Linked DNA regions of Lonchura striata. The protein of the gene in region 1 interacts with the protein of each later gene in a pairwise test. Links are inferred from orthologs where the notes say so. Each region holds a gene or a part of one and is shown on either strand. Other genes may lie near its edges.

Evidence for each region.
Region 2: the proteins of NR4A1 (region 1) and PRDX4 interact in a two-hybrid assay, tested with the Homo sapiens proteins (2 studies listed by BioGRID and IntAct). The link is inferred for Lonchura striata from reciprocal best matches to the Homo sapiens genes NR4A1 and PRDX4.

Annotation. Positions count from the first base shown.
Region 1 is NC_134629.1:6,181,928-6,194,099, reverse strand, and holds NR4A1 (nuclear receptor subfamily 4immunitygroup A member 1), read left to right. Parts: upstream 1-7,536; 5' UTR 7,537-7,538; coding exon 7,539-8,348; intron 8,349-8,587; coding exon 8,588-8,717; intron 8,718-8,828; coding exon 8,829-8,980; intron 8,981-9,357; coding exon 9,358-9,560; intron 9,561-9,635; coding exon 9,636-9,814; intron 9,815-9,904; coding exon 9,905-10,161; 3' UTR 10,162-11,011; downstream 11,012-12,172. Other genes in the region: protein TAMALIN, read left to right, coding at 318-372, 701-803, 892-985, 1,057-1,123, 1,206-1,272, 1,354-1,778. UniProt on the Homo sapiens protein: Orphan nuclear receptor. Binds the NGFI-B response element (NBRE) 5'-AAAGGTCA-3'. Binds 9-cis-retinoic acid outside of its ligand-binding (NR LBD) domain.
Region 2 is NC_134604.1:103,723,946-103,735,637, forward strand, and holds the start of PRDX4 (peroxiredoxin-4), read left to right. Parts: upstream 1-6,689; 5' UTR 6,690-6,705; coding exon 6,706-6,922; intron 6,923-8,585; coding exon 8,586-8,703; intron 8,704-9,652; coding exon 9,653-9,769; intron 9,770-10,292; coding exon 10,293-10,415; intron 10,416-11,027; coding exon 11,028-11,158; intron 11,159-11,692. UniProt on the Homo sapiens protein: Thiol-specific peroxidase that catalyzes the reduction of hydrogen peroxide and organic hydroperoxides to water and alcohols, respectively.

The DNA.
Region 1 (12,172 bases):
TTCCACTCTGGATAGCCCAGGAGGGCTGGAAATTAAGGGGGTTTATGGGGGAGGTGACAGAAGTTTATGGGGTCACAGCTCCCTGGTGGGCTCAGGCACTCCAGACCCTGTGGGCATCCTGCCTGGCACCCCCACGATTCTGGCCAAGGCAAATTTGGGGGGAGGGTCTCATCCCTGGGGGCAGGAGGGGTGAATCCCCTCTCAGGCAGAGGTGCTTGGGGACGCCAGAGCAGCGTTTTGAGAAGAGCCTGAGGTTTGCACGGGCAGGTTTGGGTGTGCTGGGGCTCTGCCCTGCCCCTGATCCCTGTGTCCCCCAGGAGGGTGGTGACGCTGGAGAAGAAGGCAGAGGAGTCCTTCGGCTTCGAGATCCAGGTGGGTGCTGAGCCGAGCTGAGCCTGGCCGTGCCATGCCCTGCTCCCCGCCCTTCCAACCCGCACCTCGCTTTGCATCGAGGGTATTTTTAAGTTCTCTCTGAGCTGGGGGTTATTTTTAGCGGTGACGGAGTCGCTGCCTTACCGAGCTGGGGGGGCACCCGGGATGCAGCCATCAGGGCAGGGCCCCCCCCGTGCCAGGGGCTGCGGGGCTGCCCCGCTCACCCAGCAGCAATGCAACACTGCCCTGCTGCCCCGTGGCTGCTCCCGGGGGGTTCCTGGGGGTCGGGGTGCCCCCGTGACCCTGAGCAGACCCCCCCCTGTTCCAGACCTACGGGCTGCACCACCAGGACAGGAACAGCGTGGAGATGTTCACCTTCGTGTGCCGCGTGCACGACGGGAGCCCGGCCGAGGCCGCGGGGCTCAAGGCTGGTGAGATCATCCTGGGGGGGAGCTGGGGTGGGGGGCTCTGGCAGCGGGGAGCAGCCCCCCTGAACCCCCTGTTCGCCCTGGGCTCCAGGGGACACCATCACGGGCGTGAACGGGCTGAACGTGGAGGGCATCCGGCATCGGGAGATCGTGGAGATCATCAAGAGCTCGGGCAACGTTCTCCGGTGAGCTTGGGGGGCGCAGGGGAGGCCCGGGTGGCTGCAGCCCCCCACGGCTGACGGCTGCTGACCCACAGGCTCGACACGCTCTATGGCACCTCCATCCGCAGGGCCGAGCTGGAGGCCCGGCTGCAGTACCTGAAGGTGGGCAGGGGCTGGCAGGGGGTCACGAGGAGGGGCTGGGGACCCCCTCGCCAGGGTCCTCACCCCCTCACCCTCCCCGCAGCAAACCCTCTACGAGAAGTGGGGGGAGTTTCGCTCGCTGATGGTGCAGGAGCAGCGGCTGGTGCGGGGTGAGCGGGGACCAGGGGGCTGGCGGGGGAGGATTTTGGGGCACCAGCCGCCCTCCCTGACACCCCCGTGTCCCCCATCAGGTGTGGTGGCCAAGGACCCCAGCATCTACGACACGCTGGAGTCCATCCGCTGGTGCCTGCAGGGGGAGGGACTGCCGGGGGGCTCCTCCCGGGCCAGCGGCAGCGATGATTCCCTCTACCAGACCTGCGTCTTCGCCTCTTCCAGCTCCCTGGACGGGGACAAGGATGGCGACAGGGACAAGGATGAGGACAGCGGGGGTCCCGCGCCGCCCCCGCCGCGCCCCCGACCTGCCCTGGCCCGCAGCGCCAGCCTCAAGTGTGCGGGGGGCCCGGGGGCTGCGGGGAGGCTTTGGGCCCGGGCCGGGGACCCCGGGGAAGGAGCGGCCGCCCCCCGCAAGAGCCGGCACAGCAGCTTCCGCCGGCGGCTGCTCAAGTTCATCCCGGGTCTCAACCGGGCGCTGGAGGAGGAGGAGAGTCACCTCTAGCCCCCCCCGCCCGGCCCCCCAGGACTATTTATTTATTTATTGCGAGGGGCTTCATTCCCCCGGCCCCCATCCCTGGGGGCTGCAGAAGGAGGTTTGGGTTGGCCCCGGGGGGGTTCTGATTTGGCCCCTCCGACCCCGGCCCGTGGGGATGGTGACGCCGAGGGACGGACGCGACACCGAGGGACAGACGTGAGGAGCCTCCCGAAGCGGCTCCGTTCTCGGGAACGGCGCCTCCCTCCCCGGAGGGGAGCACCGGGGTAGCCCCGCACTCCCCAGGCTGGGGGGGCTGGGGGGGTCCCACCCCTGCCCCCCCGGGCTGTTGTACCACGCCGGTGCTCGCCAATACAGAGAGGATTTGCAGCGGTGTGTGGCTGTGATGAGAGGGGACAGAGCCCCCCGTGGGGACCAGGACGGGCAGGGTGGGCTGGGGGTGACCAGCTGCTGTCACCTTGGCCGTGAGCGAGCTCCCGGGGACCCCCCGTGTCCCCCCGCCTGCCGCAGCCCCCGGTGCCGTCCCCACGTCCCGGTGCCGTCCCCACGTCCCGGCGCTGCGGGGCCCCGGCCAAGCCAGGCCCTTCCTGCCCCGTTTCCTCCGGCAGCCGGCGGGAAGCGGCTCCCGCCCCGAGCCCTTCCGCCCGCGGGGGACACGGTGCCCACGCAGGACGGGCACTGGTGGGGTCCCCCCGACCTGCCTCAGTGTCCCCCAGAGCCACTGAAGCGGCGTGCAGAGGAGCTGGGGGACACAAAGCACCCCCGGAGCTGGGGGACTGCTGCAGCACCGGTTCCCTTGCACAGGCGCTCCGTGGAGCACCGAGAGCCCCCAGCCCTCTGCTCTGCCTCAGTTTCCCCCTTTGGCCGGGCTGTTGCATGTCTGGGGACCCCAATTCTCCCCTTGCCCTCCCCGTCCCCCCCGGGAGAGCCTCTGGAGGTCTGGGGGTGAGAACTGCGGGTGTCTGTGCGTGCCGTGGAGCGGGGGGTGGGGGCTCAGCTGGCTCCCCCACACTCTCCTGCCTTGTCCCCGTTCCAGGGCAGCTCCGTGCTGGACATTTATGGTCTGGCCCCGCAGCCCCGGCGGCTCCCGGTGTCCTCCCGCGTGCTGCCCGGGTCGGAGCATCCCGTTCCCGTCAGAGTCACCACGGCACCCCCCGTGGCAGCTGCCACCCCACGCTGAGCTTTTTATAGCCCCGACCTGGGGCTGCGTGCGCCCGGGAATGGGCAGATGGCCGTGGGACACCGGGGTCACGCGTGGCACCGGCTGAGCCGAGGCTGCGGGGTACAGACCGGGAACGCCCCGGAACCGCCTGTCATTACCGATAAAGATAGGCCCGGGGCAGGGAGCCAGGGGTAGCCGTGAGCCCCGGCTGATCAGCGCCCGGGCACGGGCACCCTGCAAATCCCAGCGCCCACCCTGGGGCTGCCTGGCGGTCATCCTGTCCCCGTGTCCCCACCTGGGTGTCAGGGGGGATCCCTGGGGCTGCTGTGAACAGGGGTCCCCCCGCTGCACCCCCGTGGCCTTGCCAGGGTGGCTGGGCTCGGGTTTCCTCCCCCGAAGCCATCGCGGTGCCCGCGACCTCTCCCGGGGTACAGCTAATCCCGGCTGCGGGGGCTGCCGCTGCCACCCTCCTGCCTCCGGTACCGCCGCCACCAAGCCAGGGATGCGGGGGGCTGCGACCCCCGGTGGCTTTGGGACCCCCGGCAGCTCTGCGACCCTCCTGTCTGACGTGTCCCGAGGACTCGTGGCCGAATCCCCGGGCTGGCACCGGCCCTGCCCCTCGGCAGGTCCCGCCGGGCCCGGGGGATCCCTCTGGGGGCGGCCCCGGTGGTGCCGCGGGATCCCCAAGACGTCAGTGACCGGTGTGACGTCAGCGGGCAGGTGTGATGTCACGGAATCCCGTCGGGGGCGGGCGACAGCCAGAAGCGGCGCCGGAGCGAGGGAACGGCTCCCGGTCCCGGGCCGCCACCTCCGGTACCCCCGTGCCGCCACCTCCGGACCCCTCTGGTGCCGGGCTGCCCCCGCCCCGGCTGCTGCTCACGGGGCCGGGGATTTCGTGAGGCCATGCAGGGTCCCGGTACCGGAGGTCCCGGCAGCACCCCCGATGCCGGCAGCGGCTGCCGGGACACCGGGGCACCGGCCCGGCCCCGCGGTGGAACCGTACCGGGGCCGCTGCCGCTGCAGGGGCACTAACGGGGGAGCTGTCACCCCCGGGGGCGCTGCCAGCCCGGGCACGGCGGGCCGGGTGCCCCCAGACCCCCGGTTTGTCCCTGGGAATGGAAACCGGCGGGTACGGCGAGGGACGGGACGGAGCCGGTACCGACGTGTACCGGGTCGGTAGCAGGAGATCCCAAGGGAGTACCGGGGTAGTATCGGAGGGTAGCGGCTCAGAAGCTCCGCGGTGCTACCGGAGGGTATCGCGGGAGGTGCTGGAGTCGTACCGGAGGGTACCGGGATGGTACTGGAGGGTATCGCGGGAGGTGCTGGAGCCGTACCGGAGGGTACCGGGATGGTACCGGAGGGTACTGAGGGGGTACCGGCGTGGCACCGGAGGGTGCTGCGGGCTTGTGGGTCCCTTCCGCTCACCGTCCGCCCTCCCGCGGGCCCGGGCCGGCTCCGCACCGGCTGAGCTCATCTTTCCAGCCCGCGGGCGCTGTTCCCGGCGCCGGCGCCCGCCAGCAGCCGCCGCTCTTTCCATCGCCCCGGCCAGGGGCTCCCCGCGGGGACCGGGCGGGGGCGGGACCCCGCGGCACTCCCCCCGCACCCGGCACCGAGCGGGAGGAGCCCGGGGGTACCGGCGCCGCTGAGCACCGGAGATACCCGCATGGGCACTGGGCATAGCGGCACCGGGGGTACGGGAGATCACCGGGGAGAACGGCGGCGGGGGGACACCGGGAATGGGGCAGTGAAGATACCGGCACCGAGGGGGCTCCGGGGATGCCAACACCGAGGGGACACCGGGGATAATGGCACCAGAGATCCTGGCGCCTCGAGGGCACCGAGAATGGTGGTACCGGCAACGAAGGGACACCGGGGATACCGACACCGAGAGCCTACCGAGGCTGGGCACTAAAATGATGCCAGCACCGAGGGGGCACCGAGGGTGGGCGCAGCGGAGTACCAGCAAGGAGGGGACACCGGAAATACCGGCAGCGAGAGAGGGCCGGGGCTAGAGGCAGCGGGGGACGCCAGCCCCGGGTTCGCAGCAGCGAGGAGACACCGTGCATACCGAGGAGCCACCGGCTGCGAGGACACCGGGGATACCCCTGACACCGGGGCCTCCCTCCCCCCGCCGGCGGCCCCCGGTGCCCCGGGGGGATATGTGGGGAAGCGAGGGGCGCCCGGGCTATTTTTAGCCGGGGCCGCGGGGGTATTTTTAGCCGGGGCCGCGGGTGCGTCAATGGAACCCCGCGTGCGTCACGGCCGCGCCCCCGCCGGGGCCGCCCCCCCCGTGCGTCACCGGCCCCGCGCCGCCCCGCGCGTCACCGAGCGCTTAAGAGAAAGTAGTGGCGGGGCCGGAGCCCGGCGGAGCCCGCGGAGCGGCGGTGGCAGGAGCAGGAACCGGAGCGCCGCCGCGCCGGCACCCGGGTACGGGCGGCACCGGGATGCGGGGAGCGGGTGGGGGGCACCGGGGGCAGGGGGTCGTGCTGGCAGCGGGGGCGGGCTGAGCGCAGCGGCGTGGGGTGTCCCGGTGGCACCGGGGGAGTAGGAGCCGTTGTCCGGGGCGGCACCGGAGGGGTTCAGATCGGGCGTGGCAGGTGGCGCCAAGAGGATCCGGGTCGGGCATCCCGGTGGCACCGGCGGCTCAGGGCGGTGGGCGTCCTGCAAAGTGGATGGATGTGGTCGGGTGTCCCAGTAGCGCCCCGGGCAACCGGGTCGCGCGTCCCCGTGGAGCCGGGGCTCGCGTGTCCGAAGGACGCGGTGGAAGGGACTCCCGGTGCCACCGGGGAGAGTCGGGGGTCCCGGTGGAAGGGACCGGGCTGCGTGCGCTATGCGGGATTGCCCCTTGTGGGTATCCGGTGACACCGGGAGGAGCCGAGTCGGGCGTCCCGCGTGGCGCTGGGAGGTGCACGGGATCGGGCGTCCCAGCGGCACCGGTAGCACCGGGAAAACCCGGGAATCCCGCAGCCGGCGGGAGTTGGCAGAGCGAGAGGTCCCGGTGCCGGGGGTCCCGGGAAGAGCCCGGCACCACCCTCTCCTCCGTGAGGAGCTGCGCAGGACCGGGAGCCGCTAGTTGGGCCATGCGGGAGCGGGGGCTGGTTCCCCCATCACGGCAGCCTAACCGGGGCCAGCTGCAGATGCAGGAAAGCCCCGTCTCAGGGGCAGAGCCACCCCACACCGGGCATCACCCCGGGATCCCCGAGCAGAGCGGTCACGGAACCGGAGAGGGCAGCAGCGGGGCAGGCAGGAGCACGCGGGCAGCGCCGGGCACTGCGAGCAGGGATGTGCCCGCAGCCAGCCCCGTGCGGGCAAACCCCCCGCTGCCCCCGCGGGCCTGGCAGCAGCCGCTGCGGCATTACCGGGCAGCAGGTGCCGGCAGGGCCGTGGGCAGCGTGAGCCGCCCCCGGTGCCACCGGCTGCTCTCGCCCGCCCGCGGCCCGGGGCCCGGTGCCAGCGGCTGCCACCCGCCCGTGCAGGCGGCAGCCCCGGGGCTGGGCACGGGCGGCTGCCCCGCGCTCCCAAACCAGGAATCTGCAGACAGAGCCCGGCCGTGGGCAGCGCCGAGGCTGCTGCGGGAATCTGTGCCCGGTCCCTGGGGGGGGACAGGGCAGAAGGGACCCCAAATGCTCTCAGCGAGCGGGTGAGAGCCAAAACCTTCAAACAACCGGGAGCACGGGAAGGGTCGAGGCGTTGCATTTGCCAGGGTTTTCATGCAGGCAAGGAAAACTCCCACTGGCACAGACCGTGTCCCCCAGGGCGTGTGCCCAGCACAGTCCCCTCGGCTTCATTCAGGGACAGAAGGCAGCTGGGGGGTCACTGTTCCCTCTGAACCCAGCTGGACACGCACAAACTCCACTGCGACCACCAGCAGGGGGCTGGGGGCTGGTGCCATCCCGTGGGTACCAGAGCTGGACCCACGCTGGATATTTTTAAACCCAGCTCCTGGCGGGTGTCGGCTTTCTTGGTGCCCGAGAGAGCTGCCCAGATTTGGCTGGGGGAATCCGGGGGCTCTGGCAGCAGGGCCGTGCCAGGACGTGGCCGGGGGCCAGTGCAGCGTGACCTTTAAAGGTCTGCGAGATGAATTACATTATCGTCTTGCCATTGGGGTCACTTCTGGCTTGGCTTTCAGCTGGACACAGGACTCCGCTTGTCTTATGTCCCACCAGCTCCACGCACAGCCCCGGGGGGCTCCAGGGACTGAGGGTGGGCTCCTCTCCCCCTCACCTGGAGGGCTGCCTGCACCAATTTTCCCAAAAAGCCCCAAAAGGGGTTACGGGGGAAGTGAGATCCCCAGAACCCAGTTCAGCCCCAACTCTGGCTCCCTTGGCCAGCCCTAGGGCTTGGGAATCTGCTGGCCACATTCCTCCCTCCTTCCCTTTCGGGGGCTTTTGCTAAGCCAGCGTTTTGGGGAATGTCCTTTGCACCCATTGGCTGTGCCGTGACCTTTCTCAGGGACAGCGGTGGCCGCCACCACGCAGCCAGTGGCTATGGAGGTGCAATTCCAGCACGAGGGGAGCATCCCACGCTCCCCACCGTGTCTCCATCCTCTGCCTGGATGCCGGGGGGCGGTGTCGGGGCGCCGCTGACGCCCCTCTCTCCCCGCAGAGATGCCCTGCATCCAGGCGCAGTGCAGCACCACGGGCGCCGGCCCCTGCGAGCGCTGCCCGGCCGAGCTGCTGAGCCCCGAGGGCGGCCGATTCCCCATGGAAGTGGCCGGAGCCGACCTGGCGGCCGCCCCCGCCCTGCCCAGCTTCAGCACCTTCATGGAGGGCTACGCCGGCGAGTTCGACGCCTTCCTCTACCAGCTGCCGGCGAGCGGCCAGTCCAGCGCCGCCGCCGCCGCCGCCTTCAAGCTGGAGGACTTCCAGGTGTACGGCTGCTACCCCAGCGCCTTCGGGGGGCAGCCGGACGAGACCCTGTCCTCCAGCGGCTCGGACTGCTACGGGAGCCCCTGCTCCATCCCCTCGCCCGCCACGCCGGGCTTCCAGCCCCCGCAGGCGCCGGGCTGGGAGGGCTCCTTCGGGCCGTACTCGCCGCTGCCGAACTACGAGGGTGGGCAGCCCTGGGCCGAGCCGGCCAAGGGCGGGGGGTCGCAGCCGCCTTTCTTCGCCTTCGGCCCCCCGGCCCCCAGCCCCGGTGGGTCCCCTGCCGCCCTGAAGGGGCAGCTTGGCGCCTCGCCCCGCGTGGACCCGCGGCTGCTGGACACGGACGCCTTCCCCCCGGCCCAGGGGCCTGCCAGGGGTTTCGGGGGGCTGCCCCTGGCCCCCGCCGCGGCGCTGCTGGAGGGGCCGGCGCTGGCGCCCAGCAAGGTGCGCAGCCCCGGGGCGGGCGAGGGCCGCTGCGCCGTCTGCGGGGACAACGCGTCCTGCCAGCACTACGGCGTGCGCACCTGCGAGGGCTGCAAGGGCTTCTTCAAGGTAAGGGGAACCCCCGGGCCGTGGCTGCCGCCGGGATACTCCCACAGTGCTTTGCGGCGGCAGGAGGATGCTGCGGGGTGTCCCGGGGAGGGGCAGGGCAGGGAGCACGGCCGCCGAGCCCTCCCCACGGACACGGAGCCGGATGCTGGGCTGGAGAGGGAGGCAGGGGAGGACAGAAGGGCTTTTGTTCGGAGCTCAGCGCCCCGGGCTGAGCTCGGCCGCTCCTTCCCCACCCGCAGCGCACAGTGCAGAAGAATGCCAAGTACATCTGCCTGGCCAACAAGGACTGCCCTGTGGACAAGCGGCGCAGGAACCGCTGCCAGTTCTGCCGCTTCCAGAAGTGCCTGGCCGTCGGCATGGTCAAAGAAGGTAGCAGGGTCCCGTCCCGGGTGGGGGCACCCAGCAGGAGCGGGGAGTCCCCTCTCTGCAGCCTCTCTGGCTGCACTGAGGGCACACACTCACTGCAAGTTCCAACCGCAGTGGTCCGGACCGACAGCCTGAAGGGGCGGCGGGGCCGGCTCCCCTCCAAGCCCAAGCAGCCGCCGGACACGTCCCCGGTCAGCCTCATCACCTCGCTGGTGCGGGCACACATTGACTCCATCCCCAGTGCCACCAAGCTCGACTACTCCAAGGTAGGGCTGGTGCCACTCCATGCCCCGCCCAGGGCCGTGCCAGGGCTGGGGCTGGGTCCTGACCCATCCCCATCCCAGTTCCTCATCCATCCCCATCCCAATCCTGATCCTGTCTCCATCCCAATCCTGATCCTGTCCCCGTCCCAGTTCCTGATTCAAACTCATCCCTGTTGTTAGCCCAGCAGTTCCTGACTTGTTCCCATCCTAGGTCCTGACCCACCCCCATCCCAATTCCTGATCCACCTCTGTCCCAGGTCCTGACCATCCCAATTCCTGACCCATCCCCATCCCAATTCCTGATCCATCCCCATCCCAATCCTGACCCATCCTCTCCCAATCCTGACCCATCCCCCAATTCCTGACTCATCCTGTCCCAGTTCCAGGAGTCAGCCCCGTGCCCGTTTGAGAAGGAGGACTCGGTGGATGTGCAGCAGTTCTATGACCTGCTCACCGGCTCCATGGACGTCATCCGCAAGTGGGCCGAGAAGATCCAGGGCTTCACCGAGCTGCCCAAGGACGACCAGGACCTCCTGCTGGAGTCGGCCTTCCTGGAGCTCTTCATCCTGCGCCTGGCATACCGGTGAGCCCCGGGGCAGCGCGGAGCAGGGGGAACCCGAGCCGTGCCCAGGGGTGACGCCCGGCTTTGTGCTGCCAGCTCCAAGCCGGAGGAAGGGAAACTCATCTTCTGCAACGGCGTGGTGCTGCACCGGCAGCAGTGCGTGCGCGGCTTCGGGGAGTGGATCGACGCCATCCTCGAGTTCTCCCAGAGCCTGCACCGCATGAGCGTCGACGTCCCCTCCTTCTCCTGCCTTGCCGCCCTCGTCATCATCACAGGTGAGACCCAAACCCAGCTCCGGGCCCGGCCCGTCCCCACCCGCAGCCGGTGTCTGTCCCCGCGGTCCCACAGCCTGTGTGTCCCCCCAGACCGGCACGGCCTGAAGGAGCCCAAGCGGGTGGAGGAGCTGCAGAACCGCATCGTGGGCTGCCTCAAGGACCACGTGGCGGCAGCAGGCGCCGAGCCCGGCCGCTCCAGCTGCCTCTCCAAGCTGCTGGGGAAGCTGCCCGAGCTGCGCAGCCTCTGCACCCAGGGCCTCCAGCGCATTTTCTACCTCAAGCTGGAGGATCTGGTGCCGCCGCCACCCATCGTTGACAAGATCTTCATGGACACTCTGCCTTTTTGAGTCCCAGGCAAGGAAGGGGCTGCCGTGAGCTCCTGACCTGCCTGGGGACATCTGGGACCCGCCCTGGGCAACCCTGGTTCAGTCCAAGGATGCCCGGGAACCCCCTGGGCACCCCTGGGTCACCCCTGGGATGCCTGGAACATCCCCTGGGTACCCTAGATCAGCCCTGGGATGTTCCCACCCTATGGGTGACCCCCATAATGCCCAGAAACCACCTGGGCATCCCTAGATCGCTCCCAGGATGCCTGGAACCTGCCCTGGTCACTCCTGGATCAGTCCTGGGATGCCCGGGACATCCCTGTGGATTCCTGAATGACCTCTGGGACACCTGGGACCCCCTGGGCCATTCCCAAGCCTTTATGTATACCCCTGGATCACCCCTAGAATGCCTGGAAAACCCCCCCCCGGGTCATCCACAGGATGCCTGGGACCCCCTGGGCACTCCTGGCTCGCTCCTGGAATGCCTGGGACCACCCCTGCATCACTCCCGGGATGCCTGGGTTCCCCTCTGGATCACTCCCAGGATATCTGGGTCCCTCCTCAGATGCCTGAGTCTTCTTGGGGGCACCCTTGGGGGTTCCCCATGTGCCTTCACGGCCCAGGGTGCAGCCTCGCAGCAGCCCTGGCGTCGTCTTTCCCCGGGGGCATCGCCGGCGCGGTGCCCCCTTCCCCTGTAAAAACGCCCCTGATGTAAATAGCGCCGGCTGGGTCCTGTACAGAGTGGGGGGCGCGGGCGGGGGGTGGCTCCGGCCCCCTCAACCTCGGCCCCTTCCCCTTTATATATATTTTTCTGGGTTTCCCCCTTTTTGGCCGTTTTCTGTATATAAACTTGTACGTACAGTGAGAGGCACTGGGCGGGAGCTTTGTCCCTTGTGTTCCCCTTTAGTGAATATTTGGGGATTGGGAAGGGGGGACAGAGCAGCGGGGCTGGGGACAGCTGGAAGGATGGAGACGGGGAAAAACGGGATTCTGGAGCTGGGGGCAGCCAGAACACCGCGGAGGGGGAGAGCCGGAGGGAGCAAACAGGACACGGGAGCTGGGGACAGCCAGACTGGGGACAGTTAGAGCTGGGGACCGGAGCTGGTGACAGCCGGGGCTCGGGACAGTGGAGATGTCAGAGCTGGGGGAAGCTGGGACACTTGGGCTGGAAAAAAACAAGACGCTGGAGCTGGGACAGCCGGGGCGATGGAGCTGGGGACAGCTGGAGCTCCGGAGCCGGGATGCTGGAGCTGGGGACAGCCGGGCCGGTGGACGTGGGGACAGCCGGGATGCCAACGCCGGCGACAGCCGGGATGCCAACGCCCGGGACAGCCGGGGCTCCGGTGCCGGCGACAGCCGGGATGCCAACGCCCGGGACAGCCGGGACACCGGAGCCGGGGACAGCCGGGGCTCCGGCGCCGGGGACAGCCGGGACGCCGGAGCCGCACGTTGCCCACGCCGCTGCCCTTGAACCGTCACTCACCCCCGGCTGCCGCGGCCCCGCACCTGTCGCCCGCCTGATTTATCCTCCCCAAAATAACCGGGAAGCGTGACCGTGTCCCCCGCTCGTGTTCCTGGGGACGTGGCCATTGCCCTGGCGGGGGGGTGGTGGTGTTTGCGCTCCCGAGCTGGGGACAGAGCCGCGGGCTTCCGAGGCAGGCGAGTGGTGCGTTGTCCCCCGGCTTGTCGCCTTCCTCCTGCCGGGCACAGCCTGGCCCCGGAGCAGACGTTACCGGGGACACCCGGGACGGTGCGGAACAAGGGCCACATTGAGGCGCGGGGCCGGGGGCGACACACAACAAGGGTCCCTCTGTCCCCCCCGCCGCCGCCCCCGCTGCGGGGACAGCGCTGACGCACGGTGGGGCCGCGGACGGGAGTCGGGGCGGGGAACGGCGGAGCTGCGCACAGCGGGCGCGGTGGGCACGGGGTTGGCAGCCGGCACGGCTCGGCACGGCTCTGCTCTGTCCCCTCCTACAACTCAGGGCTGCCCTCGGCCACCATCGCTGTCCCCGTTCCCTCCTCGGCACGGGGA
Region 2 (11,692 bases), on another chromosome or scaffold:
AGATTTCAACTTACATTTCCTATACTCGTGAACCTTGTATTTTAGAGAAAAAGATACCAGATCCCAGATTTTAGGGAATTTCAGACTCTTGGAGACTAGATGACTTCAGGTCTTTCCATCAGTATAGCAAGCATCGTACTGCCATCTAGTGAGCAATGTAAAAGCAACCGACACACCAAAGTGCATAAATATTTCTCATTACAAGCCGTTTTTCATAAGTGCAATAGAAAAGAAAAGTACATTTGGAAGTGTATGGAACACAGCTAGAAAATAGATAATATAAAAATCTTTGCAAGATAAAAGTGAAGAGGACAGGCAGGCCAGCATAACAAGAGGAGTTAGGAGTTCTTTATGACCATGTTATCCCACCATCCTGGGAATGCAGCCTTCTCTCCTACACGGATCAAGGGGTCACCCATGCTTCAGACAGTAGGGTCAATTTTTTGACAATAGCTAAATATTCAATTTTCCTTCACTGCCCAAATGCAAGGCATGTAGGACAGCCATAAGCTTGAGCAAAGCTTTAGTGGCTACCCACAGAAGAGGCATCCCCCAGGTGCCACCAATAAACATCAGCAACATCTGTTCCCATTCTGGTTTAAGAGAATAGAAAATTAGGTTGCCACAGGGCTTCTTTCCATCCACGAGGCTATGGTTCTTGAGGACAAGACACAGCTTTGCTTTGTCTGAGCAGAGAGGTGACAAATTTTCCACCTTTTCCCAAAGGCTGACTGAGCTCAAGGCTTGGACCAGAGTGCTCTAGGCTCAGTTCAGATCTGAGAAGGCAGAACCACGGGTGGGACCTGTGACTGCCACTGATGGAGATCACTGCAGTTGGCACAGTGAGGTTGCTGCTCTGTGGGTGAAGGTCTGCCTTGGTCAGCACCTCCAGACAAAGCCAGCAAGGTGATTTTGGCAGGCAAGCTCCTGGCTGTGATGGCCTCAGGGCACAGCAGCAGGCTGCCAGCAGCAGGTCCAGACATCCAGCATTGGCTTTCCCGTGCAATTCCTCAACTGCCCTTCACAGTCCACTGACTTGCAGAGAACAGCAGATGTCTAACAGGTGTTGTTCAGCACTGACTTTCCCTGTCCTCATCAGTACAGATGGCCAAAAATTGTTCTAGTGCACATAGGTGTTTTGGGCACTTTCTTTGCATACAGACTTGTTAAAGGAAGAAAAAATGTGATAGAGCATAAACACACTTGTAACCCACTCTCAGGTGACTGCCAAAGGAAAACTGATGAGGTCCTGCAAAGACTACATGATTTGTCAACTCAAGAAGGTGGTTTCACAATGTTTGTTTTTTTCACAAACCTGCAGATTCTGTCAGCCCTCACAGAGGCAGAAGAAAGCTTGGAACAGAGGTGCTTTAGAAACCATACTCCCCCCTCGCCCTGTGACTAGCAGTACCAGCCATCCTTTGTTGCCATGGTCAAACACATCAGTAACCTGCTCTGCCCTGCTCCTATCCCACAGGCCCTGCAGGGTTTCTGACACCAATGACATAGGAAGCAGAGCTGGCTAGAGGAAAAAGAAAAGAAGCAGAACTTTTCTATGGCAGGTGTGTCTGCAGAGGAAAAACATAAATTCATCTCTAAACATTAATGCATTCTCCAAAGTCTGCAGGAATGAATATGTCTATGATGCATCTATAGAATAAAAGGGGCAGGTTTTACAAAGTCTATGTTTACTCAGTTCATACTGCTTCCACTAGCTGACAACACAAGCAGAAGTCAGGATATGTTGCCACAGCTCTCTTCACAGAGAGCAGAAGGCACAACTTTCCAGGTATTGTCCTGGGGAAGGCTGTGAGAAGATCAGAGAAAACAATGAGAAACAATTCTATCTTCACTTGCTGCACCGGTTGTTGTGCACATGTGGAATGTGTTATGGAGATTTGTTTACTAAAGGTTGATTTCTTAATTGGCCACTGGTGATGGTGTTTGGATTTGAAGGACAAATCTGGTCTGTCTGTATTGGACTGTCTGCATGGGTCATGGTTTTTTCTTGGATAGAATGAGATGGAATGGGATGGGATGGGATGGGATAAGGATAGGATAGGATAGGATAGGATAGGATAGGATAGGATAGGATAGGATAGGATAGGATAGGATAGGATAGGATAGGATAGGATAGGATAGGATAGGATAGGATAGGATAGGATAGGATAGGATAGGATAGGATTGGATTAGGATGGGATTGGGATGGGATAATAAAGTAATTGATCAGCCTTCTGGAATCATGGAGTCAATGCTAATTATTACCCAGTGGGGAGTCCTGCTATGATAAGGAGGCAGCTCTGTTAAAGCAAATGGCACCACCTAACACTCCTCAGCTTGATGCACTCTTTCTTCAAGGCCCCTTTGCAGCCAGCACACACACAGCTGACCTCACCAGTCTGGCCTTAGCAAGAGCTAAAGAGAAGAAGTGCTCTCTAATTGTTAATTTTAATTATGGTCATTTTGTTCCAATCCCTCTCACAAAACAGATGTTTTCTACCCTACTTTCTCCAGAAAAGTTTCCTGTGCTATAGACTTTTTGTCATGCACGATGAGCAATGCAATATATTTGTTAAAATGTCCCTGTAAACCATGAAGAGAATAAAACCAACTGCTAGATTCACCAGCACAATATTGAACATCTGCTCCATCTGTTCTAGGAAATGGTGACGGGTATCTTGCTACAATATATTACACTAATTTTTCCAAGATATTTTTATGTTTGGTCATTTAAATTGCAGTGAGGTATTTTATTACCACACAGAACCTCCATAACCACGTCTAAACTGCTTCAGTAACCTAAATCACTCCCTGCTTACATAACTTCAGTGCCACTGTGGCAATGACATCCTGCCACTATCAAGCCCTTTGCCAAAACTGAGCCTTCCTCATGGGGCTGGATAGGGAATGACAGGAGCAATGCTGCCTGGGTACAGTGGGGAAAAGGAAGGATTTAGGAGATTTCCCCTTATATGTGCTGAACCTTCCCAGCTGCAGAAGAGCTGTGTAACAGGATGAATGTAGCAGTGTTTCTCTTATCACATTTTCACAGCATCACTTAATATCACCAATTCAAACACAACAATCAGCATGCAGTCAAGTATTTAATCACTGGGAAAAGAAATACTGCTGGCCATCTTCTCCATTTAGACTCTGAAGAGTGGTATATATTTGGGTTTCATCATGGATTCCATTTATGAATTGCTTTCATCTTTTAATCACTTGCAGAAGTCTTGAGAGTATACCATCAGCCAGAAAGTCTTTCTTGTTGCTCTTTTGAACTCTATCATATATATATATATATAGGCATGATCCATGCTTAATCCATATATATACTTAATCCATGCCTATATATACTATATGTTCTACATATATATAGGCATGTTCCATGCCTATATATACTTAATCACATATGAACCTCAAATTAGTGCTGCTAAACTAACATTATATTCTGCAGATAAAACCTTTTTTTGTCCTTCAGCATTTTCTCCACTCACAAGAGGCCTGCTTTTTTTCTATTTTACTGCATTCATTTTACTGGTTTTCTCTCACATTTAGAAATACATAGGAATATCTTTCAACTGCAAGGTTTTACTATTATGCAAAGTCCATACCTTGCAACTGCTTTTTTTTCTTTCAACCTTACTGTATGTCTACCTTTCAAATCATTGCCATATCCTACAGCTCAAAACACCAGCACAAAGAAAAGAGCAGGGTCAACCAAAATAACTTTCTCTGTGAACTCACAGAGGCCAAGATTGTCACTTTTCTTATGAGCACTGAGACTGAGGAAAACTTGATATTAAATTCAGTGCTACTAAAGTTAGATCATGTAAGACAGTAATCTATCAACACATTTTAGCATGCTTAAATGTAAAGCTTGTCTTGTTCCAAGATCAATGGGAATACACAGATTGTATGCTTTTTTCCACCACAACCAGAGTGTTTAACATGAGCAAATGAGTTTTCTTCATCCTCCTTTTAATGACATGACCTTGATAGGGGAGGGGGTGTCAAACAGCAGCACTGAAAAGAACAGGTTTTATCCTGCTTTCAGCACTTGGGGAGGTATGAACAGAGAATGGCCACCACCAACTCCCAGTGAGAAAAACAGGGCAAGGGAACTTCATGTGCCATCAAGTTCATTTCCTCTTTAGGCAGACATTTGATACAATTTTTTATAATTCTACACATGCTGATCAAGCTTGGTAAATATGCAGGTGTTTTGCTCCTGTACTCATGAGAAGGATCTTCCAGAGCCTTACACTTCTGACCCTCAATAATCTTCAATTCCTTCCTTCAGGTGGGCAAATGTGCCCAAGGAAGATTATTACTGTGGCAGTAAGGATATGAGTGGCATGACCCTAACTTGTAGAACCTAGACTGGAATTTAAAGGCAAATACCACAAGAGATGGGAAAGGAGACCTTTCTGGAGAGAAGTCCAAGTTTTGGGAGAAAGGAACACTTAAATCATAGGTTAAGAAGTCCAAGCATGCCTGCAAAATCTTGATTCTCCTGCTCCTGTGAATTTAATTTTGTGAAGTATCTTCATAAAGAGTGAAATCTGTTACAGAAAACCACAAAAATATTAGGATTTTTTCAAGACACAATGTATAATCACAGGTACCTTCCTTCTCTTCTTTTACAGAGCCTTTATTCTTTGAAAATGGCCCTCAGCATATTCTTTTGCCTCTGCTCTTTACATGCCTGTTCTGTATCATTTGAAGGAAAAAAAAATTGTACTGTCCATTCTGGCACAGGTACCACAGCATCCTGCAGCATTTATCACACATCATCTGCAGAGACAGGCTGCAGTGCAGACGATCCTGAAATCATCAGTCTGGACAGCTTTTACTGGACCACCAGTTTTCCCAGAAGATGGCATCCACAGTGCTTAAGGCACAAAAGATCAACACTTTTGGTAAGGGACAGCTCCAGCTCTTTCACACCCTTACTTTTAAGGATCATGGGTAGAATTTAATTGATACACTTGACAGATGACCTGACCTGTCCCTGTCCAATAGGTATGCCTATTCAACCAGAAATTGTGCTGCAAAGCCTTACCAACTGCTTGTCAAAGCCTGCTTACTGTCTTCAAAATCTGTGGAATTACATTCAATCTATGCTTATCTTATATGCTTATATGTAATTGTTTTGTGATATGAACCACAATCTACTCAGCACTGAGGAAAATGACCTCTCACTGGGCAAACTTGAACCAAAGCATCTGGGTCACAGAAATTATCACAGTGCTGGAGCATCTCTTCTGCAAATGTTGAGGTTGTTCAGCCTGGAGAAGAGAAGGCTCCAGAGAGACTTTAGAGCAGCCTTCCAGTACCTACGGGGGCTTTTAAGGAAGATGGGGACAGACTTTTTAGGAGAGCCTATTGTGATAGGCTAAGGAGTAATGGTTTCGAATTACAATGCCATATAGTGCTTAACACCACATATAAAGACATTTTTTACAATGAGGGTGGCAAAATACAGCACAGGTTGAACAGAGGTGGATGCCCCAACCCTGGAAACATTCAAGGTCAGGCTGGACAGGGCTCTGAGCAACCTGATCTAGCTGAAAATGACCCTGCCATTGGAGGCATATTAGAATAGACTATCTTTAAAGGTCCCTTCCAACCCAAACCATTTTGTGATTCTGTGAATTAAGGCACTTAGTATTTAATTTCTGTCGCACCACACTCTTACACAGTCACCACGTGCACTACATGCTGCCCATTCATGAGCTGCTGCCCAGCTGACAATTCAAGGTTTTGGGCCTGAGGCAGTACCCCTTTTCTGCATTTCCTCTATTCGTGAGGCCAGAATGCACAATCTGCATTTGGCATAGCTGGGTATGGCCGCGAGTGGTGGCGTGCCCACAGAACCCACGCTGCCACAGATGAGAGGCGATAGCAGAGGGAGCCCCTCACAATCAGTTTCCTTCTGCAATCCGGATTCGTGCGCTCTCTCCACACACACACGTGTTCTTTCCCCCTTTCTCTGCACAGCCCGTCACTCCCATTCCCTCCGAGGCCGGAGACCGAGCCCGCAGCCCCGCGGCACTGCCCGCGCCCAGCGCCCGGCCCCACAGCCCGGGCCGGGGTTCCTGTACCGGACCCGGGCCGGGGTTCCCGTGCCGGACCCGGGCCGGGGTTCCCGTGCCGGACCCGGGCCGGGGTTCCCGTGCCGGACCCGGGCCGGGGTTCCCGTGCCGGACCCGGGCCGGGGTTCCCGTGCCGGACCCGGGCCAGGGTTCCTGCGCCGGACCCGGGCTGGCTGCGCTGTGACCCGGGCCGGGGTTCCTGTACCGGACCCGGGCCGGGATTCCCGCGCCGGACCCGGGCCGGGGTTCCCGCGCCGGACCCGGGCCGGGATTCCCGCGCCGGACCCGGGCTGGCGGTGCAGGGCCCGGGCCGGGGTTCCTGTACCGGACCCGGGCCGGGGTTCCCGTGCCGGACCCGGGCCGGGGTTCCTGTACCGGACCCGGGCCGGGGTTCCCGTGCCGGACCCGGGCCGGGGTTCCTGTACTGGACCCGGGCTGGCTGCGCCGGACCCGGGCCGGGGTTCCCGCGCCGGACCCGGGCTGGCGGTGCAGGGCCCGGGGCCAGCACACGGCCCGGCCCGGCCATGCGGCGGGCGGGTGTGCGCACCAAGCTCCTCCCCGGCGCCGCCGCCCCTCGCCGCGGGGCCGCGCAGTCGCTCGGCGGGACATGGAGGCGGGCGGCGGGGCCGGGGCGCGGCGCTCCGCGCTGCTGCTGCTCCTGCTGGCGGCGGCGCTGGGCGGCGAAGCGGAGGCGGAGGAGCCGCGCCCGGCGCGGCAGCGCGGGGACGAGCAGTGCCATTACTACGCGGGCGGGCAGGTGTACCCCGGGGAGGCGGCCCGGCTGCCGGTCTCCGACCACTCGCTGCACCTCAGCCAGGCCAAGAGTAGGTGCTGGGCGCGGCCGGGGCTGCGGGAGCGCGGGGCCGGGCGGGGATGTTCGCAGCGCGCCGCGGGGCTGCGGGCGGCGGCGGCGCCGCGCCGGGCGGAGCGCGCGGCTCCCGAGCCCCGCCGCGCCCACCGGCTGTGCTGCGGCCTCGGCCGCGGGGCGGAGGGAAGCAGCGAGGGCGGGCCGGCTCCTGCGGAGCTGCGTGTCCATCGTGGGCCCGTCCGACGGGCTCCGGCGAGGCCCGCGGTTCCGGAGATGGCGAACGAGTTCGGGGGAGCGCTTGAGGGATCCGCAGGAACGTTCTGTGCTCGCACTGCAGTGGATCACAAACAATGCACGGCGCCTCCCGGGCCCGCCGCCGCCGCGCTGGGTTTGGCGCTGCTCTCGTGCCGGGGCTCTGGTGCGGTTTAAGTGCTTTACGTGACAGACCTGGGGACAAACACCGCAAATCGCATCGCTGTGAGATGTGCAGGGACACCTGCTCAAAGTCTGGCCTGCAGGACGGAGAGTACAGAGAGGTCACACAGATATCTTCCATGTGAGAGTTTTAAATGCTTTTCCTTTACAGAGCAGGGCATACATCATACATTCTGTTTTAAACGTTTGCAAGCAGATGCTACCAAAAAAAAAAAAAAAAAAAAAAAGAGGGAAAATCAGCCAAGATATTTGTAACCGATACCTTAATTTAGAAAGGAGTCAAGATATACAGTATTTCGTTTAATATCTTTTCCTTCTCCCTCATAATCTGAAGGTCCTTGTTACACATCCTTGAGAACGATATTCTGCAGCTGTGGGTTGTTCTAAGGAAAGGAGAGCCAAACAATTCAGGCATTGTCCAGATAATATTTAAGATTCCATGTATTTTTCTCAGAAGTTTTTCCCTAATTTGTTGGAGATATACGTCAATATCCTTGACATGGCAAGTGTATTCATACCACCTTGTAATTCCAGCATACCCTATCCTTTGTCTCAGAATTCACAGTGGTATGAAAACAGTACCTGCAGATTAGTTTTTAATATATTAAATTCAAGGTTAATCGCTTCGGATAGGAATAGTAAATACATTTCATGCCTTTCAACTGGATATTTTTTTAAAACATAGCTGTCTTCAAGTTAAATTTTGCTTAGGAGTTGTAACTTAATAAACATATGCTGCATTTTTAGGCGTTTGTCTTTCTTTAACCATGTTGTGGTGTATATTTTTTGTGGACCAGAATTCCAGACAGGTTTCCATGGCTAAAAAGTAAAGTGAATTTTAACTATTTTGTGCTTCTGGTTCCCAACAGCTATTTTTAACAGAACAATGAGAGTACCTGAAGTATTAAAGAGCTTTCCCCTGCAGTCTAGCAGTTGCCTTGAGCTGGCAGTGCACACAGGGTTTGTTCAGTCAGCCCAGATAAGGTTTGTGTGGCCTTGATTGTCGGTGATCAGCAGGGCTCATGTATGAGCACAAGCTGGTCAAATTATTTACTTTGTATGTGTACTAAAGCCTTCATTTCTTCATCGTTCTGTAACCTGTTTAGAGCTGGAAAGCAGTTTCATCTTGGAACTGTGCTGCAGATTGTTTTTCAAGCAAAAGGAAGAACAGCTGTCCTGGGGCAGCTTGGCTTGAACACAGGTGTTATATTCTGACTTCTAATTCAATGTTCTTTGCATTTCAGTCTCCAAGCCAGCACCTTACTGGGAGGGAACAGCAGTCATAAATGGAGAGTTTAAAGAGCTGAAGTTAACTGATTATGAAGGAAAATACCTTGTCTTCTTCTTCTACCCTCTTGACTTGTAAGTAGGAGCACTGTAGACATAACACTGAGTGCAGCTACACTAGATCCGTAATTCATTAATTCTTCTCTTTTCTGAGGTCTTGTATTTTTTGTTTGGTGAGAATTTGGGAGAGAAGAAAGGAATGACAGAAGAAAATATATTCTTTGCATTTGTTTTCTCATCATGCATTGGTAAAATGACAACACAGTCTTTGTCCTAGTAACTGTGTCCACTAATTTGTGTCTCCAAACAAAACAAATGCCTAACCTAGTTAGGCAGACTCTATGTATTGTTTCGTGCTGTAAATCAGTGCTGCAAGTAGAAGAAAGCATCCTTTCTAGAGTGTGTACAATATATCCAAGAGGTGGCATTTTCGCTTTAAGCTCATCCCATAACATCCTGTGAGCACTTAGCATTAACCTCCTTTATTTAGAATGCAGTAACTTCACTGAGTGAAAACATCTCTGCTTTTTAAAGGACAATCCCATTCTTTTCCACAAAATGAAGATAAGAGGACAGAGGTGCATAACTACTTTTAATATGATAACATCACTAGCTTTACTACTTCAGTTCTTCTGTAATAGAAAAAGTTGAAGACAAATTAGTTAAAACTTGCAGATTTGCACAGTAACAACAAATTATAGTATGATCCTCTGAAAGAATTGGTTTATAGTGCTTAAATTCAGCCACATTTGTAAAGTCTAAAAGGAAGTAACTGTACAAGCTCTGAATGCAGATTGTAAAATAACTGTAGATTTAGAGTATTCAGAAATAATCCATTACTAACTAAGCTGGAGTCTGAGGGTGGAGGATTTGTCAGGCAGCATTTTGGTTAAATACTTGAAGGAGCAATAAAAATAAGCAAAAGCTGAAATAATTTACTATAAATACACCATTTAAAGTTAGGCAGAGAATTTACTGACTTTCTCATGAAATTTTGACTTTTATCTTGTCTTAAATCATCTAGTACATTTGTCTGTCCAACTGAGATCATTGCCTTCAGTGACCGAATTGAAGAATTCAGAGCAATAAATACTGAAGTAGTAGCATGTTCTGTGGACGCAAAATTCACCCACTTAGCATGGTATGTATCTTTCTCTTGTCTTTCACTAAACATTATTTATTCATGATTCCAACTTAGTAAAAGAACAGTATTCCCCAGATTTTTAGCCTGTGGAGGTATATCATAATGTGTGAAAGTGTGATGCTGTTGACACAAATGTTTAAAGTTTTAATCCTAGTGTGTGAAAGAATAAAGATTCTTTAAGCTTGTTTAATATGTATTGCTTGCAATATGTCATGTCTCAGTCCAAAAAATACTACTAGAAAATATTAATGAAATCATCAGTAAATGTTTCACGTGTCCCAGTTCATGAGCATGTTGGCATAAAACAAATGGAACTGATAAGAAAAAGGTCATCATTAACAGATGTGGCCAAAACCTGCAAGCCACAAATACTGTTCCATCTTCTTTATGTGCAGAACAGAAAAAAATGTCACTTGCACTAGATCCTTCTGTCCATACTGATTTAGCTTGTGATTTCTGACTTGTGTAGGGAATATAAATCAGTATGAGAAATACATCTCTTATTTCCTTTCCTTCAAAGGATTAATACTCCTCGTAAACAAGGAGGACTTGGACCAATGAAGATTCCCCTTCTTTCTGATCTGACACACCAGATTTCAAAGGATTACGGAGTGTATCTGGAAGACCAAGGACACACACTTAGGTATTTCACTTGGTTGCAGTTGGGTTGGGGTTTTGCTTACTTACTTACTGCTTACTGCTTCATATTTAAAGAAGCATTTGAAATTTTTGTTTTAGAGCAGCTTTTACTTGGGGGTTCATGGCAAGTAGCAAATATTGAAGAACACAAGAAATTTAGTCATAATGAGTCAGAAGAAGGGTCAAGGTTAATATCCTGTTAAACAGCAGGCATCAGTAGAAACCTAGAGCAGGGCAAACGAGCAGGATTTCCCAAAACTGCAGTTGCTCAGGGACCTCCCAAGTCCAGGTGGAGTCAAGACTAAGGTTACCTGAAGAGATGCATTTGCCTAAAACTGAGTAGTTTCTTTTGGGATCCCTGTAATGGCCTAGCATCTGCAGCATCCCCTGGCAGGGCCTGTGAGAGCTTAGTTCCATGTTCTGCAAAGAAGTGTGTCCTTTTTGTTTTAAATGGAGCTCAGCTCATGTCCTCTGATACCCAGGTAAAGAATGGTAGGTTACTGGTGGTTAGTATTATATGATGTTTGCAGACATCAAATTCCTCCCATCCAGTGCATGAAAACACCACTACTGTTAATTCTGTTTCCTAACACACACACAATTTTTTTACTCACAGAGGCCTTTTCATTATTGACAATAAGAGAATCCTTCGACAGATCACAATGAACGACCTTCCTGTCGGGAGATCAGTGGATGAAACACTTCGTTTAGTACAAGCATTCCAGTACACAGACAAACATGGAGAAGGTGCTCTTTAAATATTGCCATATTGAACATTGTTTTACTTAGCCTGGAAGCTGTGTTAGCTTTTTGGAGGAAGGTTGTTCAGTAGCATTAAGGACTGCCTCATTCAGTGACTGAAGTGGTTTGATTGCCCTGCTTGATTCCATGGTCCCAGATCCTTAGGTTGTTTCTAGAATTGTAATTTACATTTCGTTTCACATCCATGAGAGTGAGAGCATAAAGCATTCCTGTAGTCGGAATTTTGGCATGATGTACCATGTGTCACAAGCATAAATTTGTACAAAATATGAGGCTGTGAAGAATGAGGCCCAATATTTCAATACATTTTTGCATACTAAAATAATGGAGATGCAGGCCATCCTTGTCCTGTGTCATTCAGTGAGGACCTGTGACAAGTAATGAGTGTTTCATGGCAAGATACTGTGGAAATTATAGCACCATTACTTGTGTTTTTTGTATAAGTGCTATGTGCTCATCTTTCCCCAACAAAAAAATTCTGCTGTCTTCAGATCATTGCTTTGTATCAAAAATTCTTAT